2 linked regions of the Lytechinus pictus genome follow. The protein of the gene in region 1 purifies or fractionates together with the protein of each later gene. This does not show direct contact. Links are inferred from orthologs where the notes say so. Each region holds a gene or a part of one and is shown in the gene's direction. Other genes may lie near its edges.

The links.
Region 2: the proteins of isoleucine--tRNA ligase, cytoplasmic-like (region 1) and leucine--tRNA ligase, cytoplasmic-like purify together in Homo sapiens (affinity purification with mass spectrometry; 7 studies listed by BioGRID and IntAct, counting the BioPlex papers as one, with this or other methods). This does not show direct contact. The link is inferred for Lytechinus pictus from reciprocal best matches to the Homo sapiens genes IARS1 and LARS1.

What each region holds. Positions count from the first base shown.
Region 1 is NC_087247.1:36,592,464-36,600,585, reverse strand, and holds the start of isoleucine--tRNA ligase, cytoplasmic-like, read left to right. Parts: upstream 1-4,872; 5' UTR 4,873-5,191; intron 5,192-8,122. UniProt on the Homo sapiens protein: Catalyzes the specific attachment of an amino acid to its cognate tRNA in a 2 step reaction: the amino acid (AA) is first activated by ATP to form AA-AMP and then transferred to the acceptor end of the tRNA.
Region 2 is NW_026974140.1:10,269,376-10,276,960, forward strand, and holds the start of leucine--tRNA ligase, cytoplasmic-like, read left to right. Parts: upstream 1-4,554; 5' UTR 4,555-4,915; exon of another isoform or gene 4,916-5,031; intron 5,032-5,418; exon of another isoform or gene 5,419-5,784; intron 5,785-7,585. UniProt on the Homo sapiens protein: Aminoacyl-tRNA synthetase that catalyzes the specific attachment of leucine to its cognate tRNA (tRNA(Leu)).

The sequences.
Region 1 (8,122 bases):
TATTATTGCTTTAGTGTGGGTTTTCCAAACGTTTTATTTCATTTTAAAGCCATTTCTAGATATTTAAATAACAAGGAACTTGAGTTTAGGCCAAGCATGAAAGGTGATAAGCACTTCTTCTCTGATGAATTATGGGGACTGTATTTTATGTAAAACTATGTAAGATAACAAGATATATTTTATGAAGCTTTTGATGTTAGTAATGATCCAGGGGATGATGTTTCATGAATATGCTGTGTCATAAAAAAGAAGATGTTAGTAATAATGATAAAAAAATGAGCTTTACATTTAAATTTGCATAACCATTGCATCCAAGTGCAATACTAGATATATTGGAATTGCTAGATGATAATAACTTTACTTTTTTATCATAAGATGGTTGTTTATGTTCTAGTATTGTTTATCGAAGTAATTTAATTTGTTGATATTTCTGAGTGGTCCACTATTGAATATCTTGCAGTATGTGTATCTGATAATGACGTTAAGCCAGTAAACTCACATTTCTGAGACTAGCTTGACTGAGAAGAAATGGATACATGATATATTATGTACAGTATATCATGATATTTTCTCCAAAGGATATCAATTTGAAGAAAATATCATGTTATTTTTATTTTTTCTTGAAGTATGTGGTTATTTGTGTACATGAATATCAAAGAAATGGGAACAAAACAAGTACAAATTGAATTACTGGTAGTTTGAAACTTTTGAATATCTAAATCCTAAATTATAGGTATATTTGTATGGGATATGGGCGAGGTCTGTGCCCAAGTTTCTCCCTTATATTTATTTTTTTTTTTATTGTAAGGCTTTGCATTAATTTTTGTTCATTCATACTTGTTATATTCATCATGCACTTCAATCTTGACTTAGATTTAATATTTTATTTTGTCATGTTTACTTGTGTTTACAAACAATACTCCCAAAGCAATTAATTGTATTGAGCTGCAGGACATGTATAGATTATTACTTCTCCCATTGTTCCATTTACATGTGAAGTTAACAATTTGTGTTTAATAGTGCCCTATTTTCATCTTAGCCATTGAGATGTTTCTTTGATAATACATTTTTATTTCATCTATTTCATCAATATAATGTAAAGAATGAAAAAGCCCATGATGAAATCATTTCTAATATTGCTGATTTATAAGTGTAATTATGATGATTAAGATTAGGAAGAGGAGGTGGAGGATGATGATGATTCTAATAAATATTTTCATAAATGTTACAGGTGTTTTATTTTTTATCACTTTATCAAAATTTTCATTAAGTTTACCATGTTACAATGTTTGTCAATGTGTTTATTAGATTTTATGAATTTTGCTTGATTAAATGTAATAACTTAATACTGTCCTCAATTTTGTGAAGGTTATTTCTAAGTCTTTTGTTCCTCTTTCCTTCAATGCTTATTTTTTGGCTTGCTTTGGGCTGATGATTATTTGATGATATTGTTCAAATGCATTGTTATATTGTACATACATGTGAATATTAAAACAGATATATTCATTCTGTAACTTATGAATAGAAATAGATATATCAATTATAATCAAGATGTGTCAGTTTATTTGTATGTGGTGTTTGTGCAGCAAAAATCTTTCCATACATAACAAAAGTGCTATCATTTTATCACGTTTAACTCTTGTGATATGTTTACAATCAATGTATTATAATGTAAAATAAATGAGGGAGGGAAAATTAAATGAATTTAAGAGAGAAAACGAACAGTAAGGATGAGAAAATTAGTATGTTTAGTGATGAACTAGAACAATGTCAGGAAATGGGATACTCTTTATTGAAAATGAGAATGAATCAATAACAAATTGGGTTACTTTCTTTATGTCAAGTGTACATTAGGGCGGCATAATATGACCATAATGTTGAAATATTGTGCCATTAAACATCAATGAACAATCATTGTGGTATTGGGTTCATGGGTCCATTCAATAATTTTAACTTAAAATCCGTTTCAGACGAGAAATTGCCTTGAAACGCTAAACATCACAGCCCTTATTCCCACTGCCCTCTGTATTAATCCAATCTAACCCACAAGATTCAAATGGAAAGGGTCAAAGAATACCATCCATAACCAATGTTTTATTCCTCGTCTCCATTCTGTTAGGCTTAGCTGAAAAAATGGTATGTTTGTGAACGTTACTTGACAATGTTTGACACCCATTGATTCATCGGGGATGACGATATATAACAAAATATTGTGCAATTCTAGTTTTCAATAAACCTGCTTTTATCCATTCTTGAATATAGCTCATCATCTTTAAATCTTTAATTTGAAATTGTTGACCTGCGAAAAAGGATTGGCATTCTGTTTTGAGTTCAATGTATAAACATTTAACAGGTTTTTCATGAAGTTAGATCGGCAGGAGACTTGTACATGGAATAGCAAGAGCAGTAATGTTGAGACTTGTGTCAAATGCTTGGAAGGTTGCCAATGCTGCAGCATAATTTACCCAGCCTGATGTTCGTAACATCTGTCTTATACAAACATTCAAATTGAGCCAATGATGGGGGGGGGGGGGGGGGGGGTCCACTGTATACATGAAGGCCTACGACAAACAATGAGTAAAGAGTGTAATTTTTGCCAGTAGAGATGTGAACTTACAACCCTTTTTGTCTCACCTGCATAGCAGAGTGAGACTATAGGCGCCGCTTTTCCGACGGCGGCGTCAACACCAAATCTTAAGTTTTTTAAATGACAGCATAACTTAGAAAGTATATGGACCTGGTTCATGAAACTTGGCCATAAGGTTAATCAAGTATTACTGAACATTCTGCCTGAGTTTCATGTCACATGATCAAGGTCAAAGGTCATTTAGGGTCAATGAACTTGCACCATGTTGGGGAATCAACATTGATCAAAATCTTAACCTAATGTTAAGTTTTTGAAATGTCATCATAACTTAGAAAATATATAGACCTAGTTCATGAAACTTAGACATAAGGTTAATCAAGTATTACTGAACATCCTGCATGAGTTTCACGTCACATGACTAAGGTCAAAGGTCATTTAGGGTCAATGAACTTTGGCCAAATCTGTTGAATTACCATCATAACTTTGAAAGTTTATGGTTCTGATTCATGAAACTTGGACATAATAGTAATCAAGTATCACTGAACATCCTGTGTGCATTTCAGGTCACATGACAAAGGTCAATGAACTTTGGCCGTAATGGGGGTATCTGTTGAATTACCATCATAACTTTGAAAGTTTATGGATCTGACTCATGAAACTTAGACATAAGAGTAATCAAGTATCACTGAACATCCTGTGCGAGTTTCAGGTCACATGACCAAGGTCAAAGGTCAATGGATATTGGCCATGTTGGGGGTATTCATTGAATTACCATCATAACTCTAAGTATATTGGTCTAGTTCATAAAACTTGGACATAAGAGTCTTCAAGTATCACTGAACATCTCATGCGAGTTTCAGGTCACATGACCAAACGTCATTTAAGGTCATTGAACTTCGGCCATTTTAGAGGTAATTATTAGATTGCTGTCATAACTTTCAAAGTTTATAGATATAGTGCATAAAATGTGGATATAGGGGTAATCAATTAAGTATCACTGACAAGTTTTAGGTCACATGATCAAGGTCCAATGTCAATGAACGTTGTATTGTATCATTATATGAATGGTGTTTTTTGTGAATAATTATTTAAATGGTGTTTTTCAAAGTCGGCACTGCTGCTATATTGAATCGCGTGATGCAGGTGAGACCGCCAGAGGCATTCCACTTGTTTTATATAAAAAAATCCGAATACAATTAAGGTATGTTTTTTAACTCATACTCTCTCGAAAATAATGCCACTATATAGTTGATTGCTCTTAGTTCATCTTTTCTGCTGTTTTGGTAATAAATTTCCATGAAAAGGGCCCGTTTCCATGGCTGGGATCACACTTTTACAGAACTGGGTGGTATAATAGTGACAAAAATGGTGATTCAACATGTGGTGGCATTTACATAGTTTCCAGCAAGAAAATTTGGCCCGGGAACTTGGCATGAGATCAGAACTTTGAATTAAGAAGAAAAATGAATTGATGCATTTCATCAAAATAAGGATTTGGGAAGTGGCAAAGGGCAGCTGCTACTTTTCAAGATGATGTAATAGAAGAAAAAAAAATGAGGGTAAGAGAAAATGAAGAATAAAAGTAAAACAAAAAAGTAGGGCCTATATGTTCACAATATCCCCATTCGAGGTGGGGAAGAAGGAAAAGTATGGAAACAAGAGGTAAATATGTGTTGTATAACTATACTATACCCATATGATATTATTCAGTAAAAAAAAACTTTCAGTTTTAGGTCGTCTGGATTTGAATAAAGTGATTTCTGATAAGTATGTTTGACTAAAACAGGGAGGGGGACCCTTGGGCATAATTGCCCCCCCGCCCCCGCCCCCGCCCCCTCCCAAAAAAAAAAAAAAAAAAAAAAAGTTGGCAGCAGCTCGAAACACCACGCTGCACAGAAACGTTGTTAGCCTAACAGACCACTATAGCAGTAAACGGTAAACCCAGTCCCATATTTCGGATTGTGCAGTAAAAACATCTATTTCAATGTGTGAGTAATGGGAGTAATGCATTGATGTAACATTACGCATTGCTGTCACATTGCCGGTTGTAACAGGGCCTCTGTTAGCGAATTGTTAGGGCTATGTTTCTGTGCGGTCAAAAGCAAATTTGGTCAGAGAAAAAATTTTTTCAAGATGTTGCCCGAAAGGCCATATCTCGCCCCCTCAAATGTCATACTTAAAAATATTAGAACCTAGCTTGTCGAAGCAAGCAGGGTTTTTCACATTTCATAAAAACCCGTGAATTCCACAACACAATACATGTATTTTGTAACATTGAAGCTACCATAGATTTAAAGGGCAAAACTGAAGTTACCAATAATGGTATCTGAAAGATGATGAAACCGTGTGAAAATTTGAAGAGAGTGAAAGGTTACTAGTAATTGATTGATCATTTTTTCGTCTGTATGATACTGTACGTTCGAACTATTTGCTGGGCATATGGATAAAAAAAATTAAGCACCGCATCAAGCTATAATTGTCCATTGTAAAATTCATAGTCTCTAACTTCAGACTTAACTTCTGAACGATATAGTAATATATACACACGTGTGTGCTGAGCTGAGTAACCCGAGTTGAACAGCGACCAGCTTTCGAGAGAAAGAGGTGAGTTATTTTCATCCTTATATGAGGTTAATGGAATTTAAAAAACAAATTGTGATTGGTAATATCGGGGTTTCTTGCAAAGATGTAATCAGTAGAAATTGCTTTGAAATGATTTGATAGGATAAAGCAAAGATACTACACTACAAGTGGAAGATCGGACACTTCGGCGATTTTTTGAAACGCTCCCAAACGCCCGAAAAATGCTCCTGAAGAAGGGCGCCCAATATAGCGTTGAGTAAGTAAACCTTCGCATATCGGCACGCGACTGTGTATAAAACATATTGGGGAAAATGAGAGAGGGGAGTTTGGAGAGGGCTCAAGGGTGGCGGATGGGAATATTTCCACGTGATTCTTCTCTTCCTCTTGGAAACAATAGCAATAATCCAATATTGATCTATTCAGAGCATGCGGCAAGATAGACAGGAATAACCGTCGTTTCTGGGGATTTATTCAACAATTTCTGACATTTTACTGTAATCCCCATTTACCGACGGTAGGGTGTACGTGTGGGCTCGCATGTGTTCTCATTCCCTCCCTTTTGTCAATTCACAGTCCAAAGTTTGATGTAATTTTACACATCGAATTTACAATCTAAGGATGTATAAACAACAAACTTAAAATTTAATATTTTAATATTTAAATACTTTAAACGATATAGGCCTAGATGAAAAAGGCATGAAAAATATACTTTACCGATGTTTAATTGGGTTGAACACGATAAAAATTGTCAAAATGGCAGCCAAACTATAAAATATTTACAAACGAACGTCAACAATCACGAATGTGATATCGATATTGCTTTCGATATTATACGATCTGCTCCATATGCGATCGAAACCGAAGATAAACGATACTAGTTATACTAGTACTAGTACTAGTTATAATCGCGACATATCGATTCGAGACATTAAGTTAATAACGATAATGACGTCATTCAAGATGGCAACTTGCAAGAAAAACCGTCAGGTCAGGTGAAAATGTCTTAGATGACAGATTTCTCAATCATCCAGAGGATTTTTTTCAATAACTCCGGCCCAAGGTATGCAATTACTTAAGTTATTTATATTTCCCTGATAATGGAAACCATGAAACTTTCAATTTTGCTTAAAAAACAGTTTTAAATCGCGATCTATAAAACGCTAGTTCACTATACGTTGGCTGTAGGTACGGGGCCCCATCCCCTTCAGTCTATGTATGGTGAGTGGAGCCAACGTAGTTTAGCGGAACAACCAAAATACAGAGACTGAAGCTTTTGGTCTAGCGGCAAGAGCTCCATATGATATGCACCCACTCATTCAGTGAACAAGGACAGGTTATGATATAACTTCTTCTTCTTCTTCTTATGTTGGTTTGAGTGGCAATTAGTCATATTTGACTATTGTCGCCATTGACTTTATCTATAAAATCTCACTTCTCATATTATTACCAATATGATGTATACATATATGAAATATTTTTCTTGTGCATCCTTCTATTATAAAAATGATGAATATAGTATACCGGTCTACAAAAGTTTGTCTTAACTCTTGTCAAAATGGCATATAAACAAATCTTCACCAAAAACAAACCGCTATCTTCAGCCCAGTTCCAACTAGTTGCGCTTGCCCTGCCCTTTCTAAGATGCAATCATACCGGTCAGCACGGTACATTGTGCCGATTTTTCGGACATAAAAATGCCTAGGTCACCCATGCATAGACGAGGGGGCGCTAGTGTGCCTGTGCTTACAGATGGGTTAAACATTAAAATAATTTGTTTCTTTTTTTTTTTAAACAACACCAACAACAACAAGGCGAAAACACTTGTGGGCTTTGTTAGTTATATGTGCAGAACATATCATTTTGTATATATTATATCATACATTATTATGTATATATATATATATATTCTTTTCACATTAGACTTGTACAAGCATATCCTTTCATATTTCTTATAAACAATACAATATAATAATATCACTCCTTACTAAAACTAACAAGGCTCCACATTAACTTTTTTTGGTGGTGGCCCGATATTGGTGGCCCGAAAAATATAAAGAAAAACATTAAAAATTAATAAAACAAACTTCTGAAATATTAATTCTGCAGCCACTACCACTAAGTTACTTTCACTTTATCATCTTGTATGTAAACCTTGTTTGCTGTTATTTTACTTTGCTAATTCATTGGTTTGTGGTAAAATATTAATTGTTTCTATCGTTGTAAAAATGAAATGATTGAAAGAGAATAAATGAATTTTATTGTTCGCAGGTTGTGTGGACTTTTTTTTTATCTCCGTATAGACACACACAGACACACTCATAATGGTAAAGTAAATAAATAGTGCATAGCAAACTCAGATAGATGTACAAAACAATGGTTTTTCATTTCTTCCTCTTTGAATCCTGAAACCTAGATTATGCAGGCCCCAAATCCAGTTTATTTCTGTTTTCTCTTTTGCAGCATATTATAGCAGGAGAAAATCACAGAAAAATATGCTGCAAAATTAGAACAATGCATAAAAGGGGGAAACAAATGAAAATAATTTTCAAAAAGTATATTACAAAAAGAAAACAAAAATAATAAAAGAAATAAGTGAAATAAAACAAAAGAAACAAAATGAAGAAAGAAAAAACAAAGAACAGGGAAAAAAAAAAATTAGAGAGAAAAAAAAAAATGAAAGAAAAATGAATTAAACAAAATTAATATAAACATGGGGAAAAGGGGAAAATTAAGAAGCCATTACGAATGTTTTTTAACAGCTGTGGCAACAGTCTATTCTGACTGGAATATAATTAAAAGCCAAGCAAATAATTTTCACTTACCTTCTGGGAATGGCACATTTCTATTTTTATATCCTTTAGTTTGTATTATTTAATTTTCAGTAGAAACATATTTATTTATCAGGCATATTCAATGGGAAGGGGTATAAATGGTTTAACCACTGTAAAAAAA
Region 2 (7,585 bases), on another chromosome or scaffold:
AGTTACGCTCATTTTCATGTTTTGATCTCACTTGCAAATTGTAATGTGTTTGCCGGGGTTCGGGGCTCATCCTGTATTACGCACTATGTAAACCTCAATTTCAATATTTCTTTTGCCTGACTTCCAAATAAGTGTGATCATTGAGTTTCTCAAAAAATACTATATCTAGGGGGGCCTATATAGTTTGTCGTAGATCTAGACATTCATCGGAATGCTTCATGTAGGTCCAAAGTAAACCTTTATTTCAGTTTTATTGTGATTAGACAATTATCAGGGGTAGATGTGGACTTGTTTCCGACCTCCTGTTTTTTAGTAACGACAAACTGTCGATTTTAGGCCTATTCAAATTTAGGTCAATGTAGGGATATGGTCAGAGCGGGATCCGGCCTTTGATATCGCCGGTGCTAGCCGGCTAGCGAGATTGTCGATGTAGTCATGGGGTATGAAAATAGCGGGGACGGACTAGGCCCAAACTTCAAGCTTGAAAGTTGAAGTTTAGGCCTAGTCCGTCCCCTCTATTTCATCTTCATATGAATAAGTATAATTCTCAGCAGTTTCTTTTATTCAGGAACGCTTTACTTCAGAATAATCAGTGTTGAAATACGATTGACTTAGCATTAATGTCTGTTATGTTAAGTGTTACTTGTCTAAGTCTTAGATTCTGGGCTCCGCCCGCGCAGCGGGCGGGAGCTCTCTGGGTTACATGATGCCATGCACTGCAATGGCAATGCCAATGTCAACGTGTTATTTTGTGAAATTACTTAAGCTTAACGAAATACTACAATCATGTAAGTTTACATACCTGTAGTAAAGACACAAATATGTTTGACACTCAAGACAAATTTCTTACCTTCAAACACAGCAACTAAACCACCTAATCCCCACTTATTTAGGAGCCTCTCCATCATCAACACCAAGCGGTCGCATGCAAGACTGCAGTAAAAATTTCGCAACTTGAGACGCGGCGGCGCGGCCGGGAAATTCGAAATCATACTCACCATACATTGAGTGATTCGACCTGAAGTAAAATAGTTCTTTGATAAAAATAATATATATCACAACGCAAATGAAGTGAAATACATGGAAAGTTTTAAAATGTTGTTTCTTTCACACTGATTAAATTTGTTTGCTATTACAACATTACAAGTATTAGCAAAATAACTATTGATTATTGAACACTGCACACAGTAATATATCCCTCCGCCGTTCAACTTGCATTGCAGTCATTGTGATGATGACTCTTTAGGCAAGTTATTTTTCCACTTCATACACCTAGTCATTTTTAACTTCCGGCGCAGTCAAAAAGCCAATAGGCAAAGTAAACAGTGAAAGGTTGACCCTATATGCAGTCAAATTTGACTACATCCAGGGTTATTTTGAAATGACCACCCAAACTAGTCAAAATTTGACTACCTATTTTTAAGTGTGTATCGCTTTTGTTGGTGTGTCTGCCACACCGTAATCTATGATACATACGGACAAAATGCATTTCGGTATCGGTAAAACACTATTAATTTTGTTTTATTTGTTTCTATTTTGTTTCTCTTGGAAAATTTACAGGAGACATTGCTTTGCAGGTTACTGCTTCAATGAAACTCTGGCACATGAATCATGACGAATGTATCCTACCTCAATCCATATTTTAACTTTATTAAAATATATATCTTTTTGGAGACCCCGAGGTGGCAAAACTGCATCCCCCTGCATTCCCGCCACTTTACAAAACCAGTTTGACTTGTATAATCGACTTGGAAAAGACATATGTATGAGACATCAGTCAACATGTTTCCTGAAGAAAGTTTTTTTTATTTATTTAAGCCTACGTCCATGGGAGCCCTCCGAATTTACCCCATCCCCTCTCCGTATTTCGACTTTAAATAAAGAAAATATCGTGTTTTAAAACCATCGGCAAGGCAAATTGCGTTTTTTGGTATAATAAAGCAACTTTTATATCTATATTTTTATATTTACATTCATCATTATTGATATTATTATAATTATTATTAATATTATTATTATTATTATTATTACTGTTATTATTATTATTATTATTATTATTGTTCTGCCATTTGTAATAGTGCTCTAGCACAGTAAAGGCTATAACCCAACAGGAGCATGCCTAGGATACCCTCTCCCTTTTTGGTTTAAGTATTCAAAAATAGTTTATTGTCTTTAGAACTCTTAAAAGATTACTTTTGTTTGTATTGATATCTTGGAATAGATTGAGGAGAAAATACTCTACAACTGACATGTAGAGGAGCTGTGGTACATTGAAGAACAGCCACACAGCCCTTTATAGATTCCACTCAATGTTAAATTTAAATAATTTTAGAGCCCGATCGGAAGAAAGATGCATTTCTACTACACAAAGTAAAGACTCTTTGCATTCTCCTCTTGAAAAAAAAAAAAAAACATAGAAGGCATTGTTTTATATCTCATAAAATAAGTTCGTGTACGTGACGGTGGCCTGTCGAAGTTGCCCAACCGTTTATTTTGTTTCAACAATATATATTTAGAATATCGTCTAAATGAAACCCTCATCTGGAAAAGGGCACTTATTAAAGGCAGCATCTACATTATATAGAGGAGGCCATGGCACTGGGAAGAGGGGGCTGAAGTTTATTAAATTTCTTCGGACCAAAATTTTACATTGAAACTATTTTGCTTTTCAAATTTACATCAAGAAATTTAACAAGCAAATAAACAAAATGGATTGCACTACAAAATGAAGTTTTTTTTTTTTGTAACGTTTCTTTTTTTCGTTTTGTCACATCTGCCGGAATTCCAGGGGGTGCTGTCTATAAAGAATAACACACGCAGCACAGCCCCCTCCCCCCCCCCCCCCCTTCAGAAAAATCTTGCGGGTGCTTCAGCCCCCGCTTCCAAGTACCAGGGCCTCCTCTATATAATGTAGATGCTGCCTTTAATATGTGCCCTTTTCCAGATGAGGGCTTCATTTAGACGATATTCTAAATATATATTGTCAAAACAAAATAAAGGGTTGGGCAACTTCGACAGGCCACCGTCATGTACACGAACTTATTTTATGCGATATAAAACAATGCCTTCTATGTTTTTTTTTCAAGAGGAGAAAGTAAAGAGGCTTTACTGTGTGTAGTAGAAATGTATCTTTCTTCCGAATGGACTCTAAAAATATTTAAATTTAACATAGAGTGGAATCAATAAAGGGGTATTTTAGAGCTTACGTGTGGCTTTTATTCAATGTACCACAGCTCTTCTACATGTCAATTGTAGAATATTTTCACCTCAATCTATTCCAAGATATGAGTTCTAAAGATAAAGACAATAAACTATTTTTGAATACATAAAACCATAAGGGGAAAGGGTATCCTAGGCATGCTCCTGTTGGGTTATAGCCTTTACTGTGCTAGAGCATTATTAAAAACTGCAAAACAACAACAATAATAATAATAATAACAATAATAATAATAATAATAATATTAATTATAATAATGATATTAATATAGATAAATATGAAATATAGATATAAAAGTTGCTTTATCATACCAAAAACGCAATTTGCCTTGCCGGTGGCTTTAAAACACGATTTTTTTATTATTTAGTGTCGAAATACAGAGAGGGGATGGGGTAAATTCGGAGAGCTCCCATGGACGTAGGCTTAAATAATAAAAAAAAAACATCCTCTGGAAACATGTTAACTGATGTCTCATACATCTGTCTTTTCCAAGTCGATAATACAAGTCAAACTGGTTTTGTAAAGTAGCGGGAATGCCGCGGGGAATGCAGTTTTGCCACTTCGGGGTCTCCAAAAGATATATATTTTAACAAAGTTAAAATATGGATTGAGGTGGGGTACATTCGTCATGATTCATGTGCCAGAGCTTCATTAAAGCAGTAACCTGCAAAGCAATGTCTCCTGTAAATTTTCCAAGAGAAACCAATTCGAAACAAATAAAACAAAATTAATAGTGTTTTACCGATACCGAAATGCATTTTGCCCGTATATACCATAGATTACGGTGTGGCAGACACACCAACAAAAGCGATACGAGAAGCCGATGGAAGCTATTGTGTTGAGATTGTGTTATCTCGAATGACATACCATTGATCGCTTTATTGTCCGATTCGTGAGTGTGACTGTGACATAGAGGTTGTTTTGGTCTCGTTTTAGCGCAATATCACGTCATACATTTTGACATATTTGCCCTCTTTCTAAGCAAATTAAGACACTAATACTGTCATGAAGCATATCGATGTTTTCGCTAATATATTCTCTTTCATGTAGAATGTTGATCTTGTGCATTAATTGCTGTTATTTACAAAACAGTTCAGGATTCATGAAAAAATACTTTGTTTTAAATTATAATTTGCATAATTTATGTAAATTAGGTAATAATAAACAAGGATATCCCAATTATTTTATGACAATTTTCTTCCCTTTCTTTCCCTAAGTCTTTATTTCAAATTTTAGGGCAGTTCTGGTTAAAAATATATTCTGAAATACTTGTTTTTACTATATCGACATAATATGCAAATTTATGCAAATTACTTGCTTATTTGCATAGATACAGCGTGTCTCTTTGGATGAATCTTTTTCTTTTGACTCAAGGAACATTTGTGCCAAGTGGGACATTTGTACTAAAAAATGCAGCGTTCACCCCTTTTTTTGCAGTTAACAAGTCTACTAGTGGGGGAAGTTACAAATTGATGCAGAGGTTCGAGGCTTCGAGCCCTGGTCACGTCTTTCGGTTCGACGGTGACGTTAAAGGTCGGTCCAGACGTAAATAATCATATCTGATTGATACACGTCTGACAAACCTCAAATACACACACGGTACGGTACGTCGGTACCCTATCTTTGAAACTAGACTCCTTAGCGCTTGCCAGTGTACTGGATATACACATGTCATTGCATCAGAATTTTCGACATTTGGTGAGTGTTTCATTGCTCAGTGATTTGTTTTATATAAGAAATAAAAATCCCAATCTGTATTGATTCATATGATTTTAGTTTTTAAATATGGTCGTCGATAATCAGTATTGGTACCGGTACGAGTATTTTTTCCAGGTTTTAGCGTCCGAATTCGCGTTCACCGGGCCGGGATCGGTCGCGCATCCATCCATCTGTTTGCACGGAGCGATAGGGTAAAAAAAGGCGGAGCTCGGGCGCGGCCCGCGTGTGAGCTGCATGCTGCTGCAGCAGAAGTTCTTGGCGCTAATGCAGTTTCGCACCGGCCGATTAATTAAAGGGGAATCCAGCCTTGGTCGTAAAATGTTGGGTTGGAAAGGAGAAAAATTAATAAAAAAACAATGGTGAAAGTTTGAAAGAAATCAGACAAGCGATAAGAAAGTTATGGCTGTATTAAAATTGAGATCCTGGGCCTGGCTTAAACTAAAGCCTTAACTTCTTAAGTCAAGACTATGTATGTCTATGCTGTACTCCCTGTGCTGTAGTCATGGTAGTAAAGTAGGTAACCCAGGGAGCTGTCAAGATTTACAAGTCTATCTCAACTGCAATATTATTTAACAAACAGACCACAGCTAACAATACATGAGCTGCTACACTAGTCAGAGTCCTACTACTAGTACTACCTAACCCAGGGAGCTCCCGCCCGCTGCGCGGGCGGGAGCCCAGGCCAGGGGCTTACCCACTCACACTAATACGAGGTTCGTATATATATACAAACCTCGTACACCGGACCGTGTTTGACCGTAGATTTTGAAGTAGTCGGCAAACATTGCTTCATTGCTGAAGTAATATTTGCCGAAACTCCTTCTCGCTACGCACCGGGGCTCTTTCCGGTAAGTAGCAATACATAACAAAATTATACATATCATATTTAACTCATTTAATTTAAAAAGAGCAAATTTCGCTTACCTCGGCCTAGCAAGTGACTTCGTTTGTCTCTTCTACGGAAATACAAGGAAGCCCGTTGGTGGCGCTAATAAATTTCACAACCTTGATTCAGCTCCTCGGTAATTTTATAACTGTGTCTAAATTCTTTGAATGCGCAATTCTTATGATTAATTTACTAATTATGGGCACCAATAAATAAAATACCTTCAAAAACATAATTCAGGATTACTATTGGCGATGATAACACTTTTGTTGCAATTAATTTAAAACGATGACTAATATAATTTTTTTTTTTTAAATACACATGCCTGGAACGAAACCAGCAGTCCAAGCAGTATTAACGAACGTCACGGTATACCAAAGTCTATACAATGAAAAGATTGGACACTTCACGGACTTCGCGTAATGCCTTGCGTCGATTTGCGTGTAAAATAGTGTAGGTTCCTAATCTTTCCCTTGTCGTGTCTTTGATATGAATATAAATCGCGCGCCCTCTTTAGGCGAAAATTGATATCTACGCTGACCAAATTTTATATCCGTGAAATCTTCACTAAAGATCAAGAAAATATACATATTTTTAAGAAAAAACTTCAAGGAGAAGTCACGGAAGGATCTAAATGATTCGGTAAGTGTCATAGCAGAATGTGAAATACCAGATTATTGGTGATATTTTATGTGGGCAAAAGCCCACTATCTTTTTGACTTGTCGTGTGTGTCGCGTGCATATGACTGATATTCCTTCGCACGCGAGATGATATGAACCCATGGGTGGGGCTTACCGTGTATTTGACCATAGTCACCGGACTAGGGTGATTTATGGTCTAAATATTTCTCCAAATGAATTGTGAAAACAGAAAGTATGCAATTACCACGATTATATGGATGAAGGTCTAACGAGTGGCAGTTTCCTGACATCTGGGCACAGACTGGAACCTCAAAAAAACGAAAAGTTCTCTCCTTCTACCCCCGTCTCGATCGGCCATTTTTGTTATGAATTGTAACAAAATGGCCGATCGAGACTGGGGTAGAAAGAGAGAACTTTTCGTTTTTTTGAGGTTCCAGTTTGTGCCCAGATGTCAGGAAACTGCCACTCGTTAGACCTTCATCCATATGATCGTGGTAAGTGCATAATTTCTGTTTTCACAATTCATTTGGAGAAATATTTAGACCATAAATCACCCTAGTCCCGTGAGTATGGTAAAATACACGGTCAGCCCTGTGCGGGCGGGAGCTCCCTGGGTTAGGTAGTAGGACTCGGAGTGTAGCAGCTCATGTATTGTTAGCTGTGGTCTGTTTGTTAAATAATATTGCAGTTGAGATAGACTTGTAAATCTTGACTGAAATTAGCGACCTAAGTCTTGGGAACGCACGAGCAGATCGTTTGGTTTGGTCGTTCAGTCCTTTTCTCCAGCGTTGAGTTGAGCGAACCACCACCATTATGACTGAGTCCTACTCACTGTTTGGTTAGTGCACTTAGACTCGATCAAAAGGTTGTGAGTTCGAATCCCAGCTCTCCACTTTAACCAGAAAGGCCCAGAGTATTTTCTGTTGCCTATAACGGTCAGCTACCGACTGATTAACTTAGTCTTAGATATAAAATGTTTCCTATTGTCAGAAGAGGTGCTGCTCTAAAAATAAGGCTCATTCCTATTTACTGTTTTAATACAGGAATTGTATTTTGTTCATAATGATTTTTCCACAGAAGTAATCTTTGTGTAGGAAAGTTCATTCACCTGTCAAGTACCA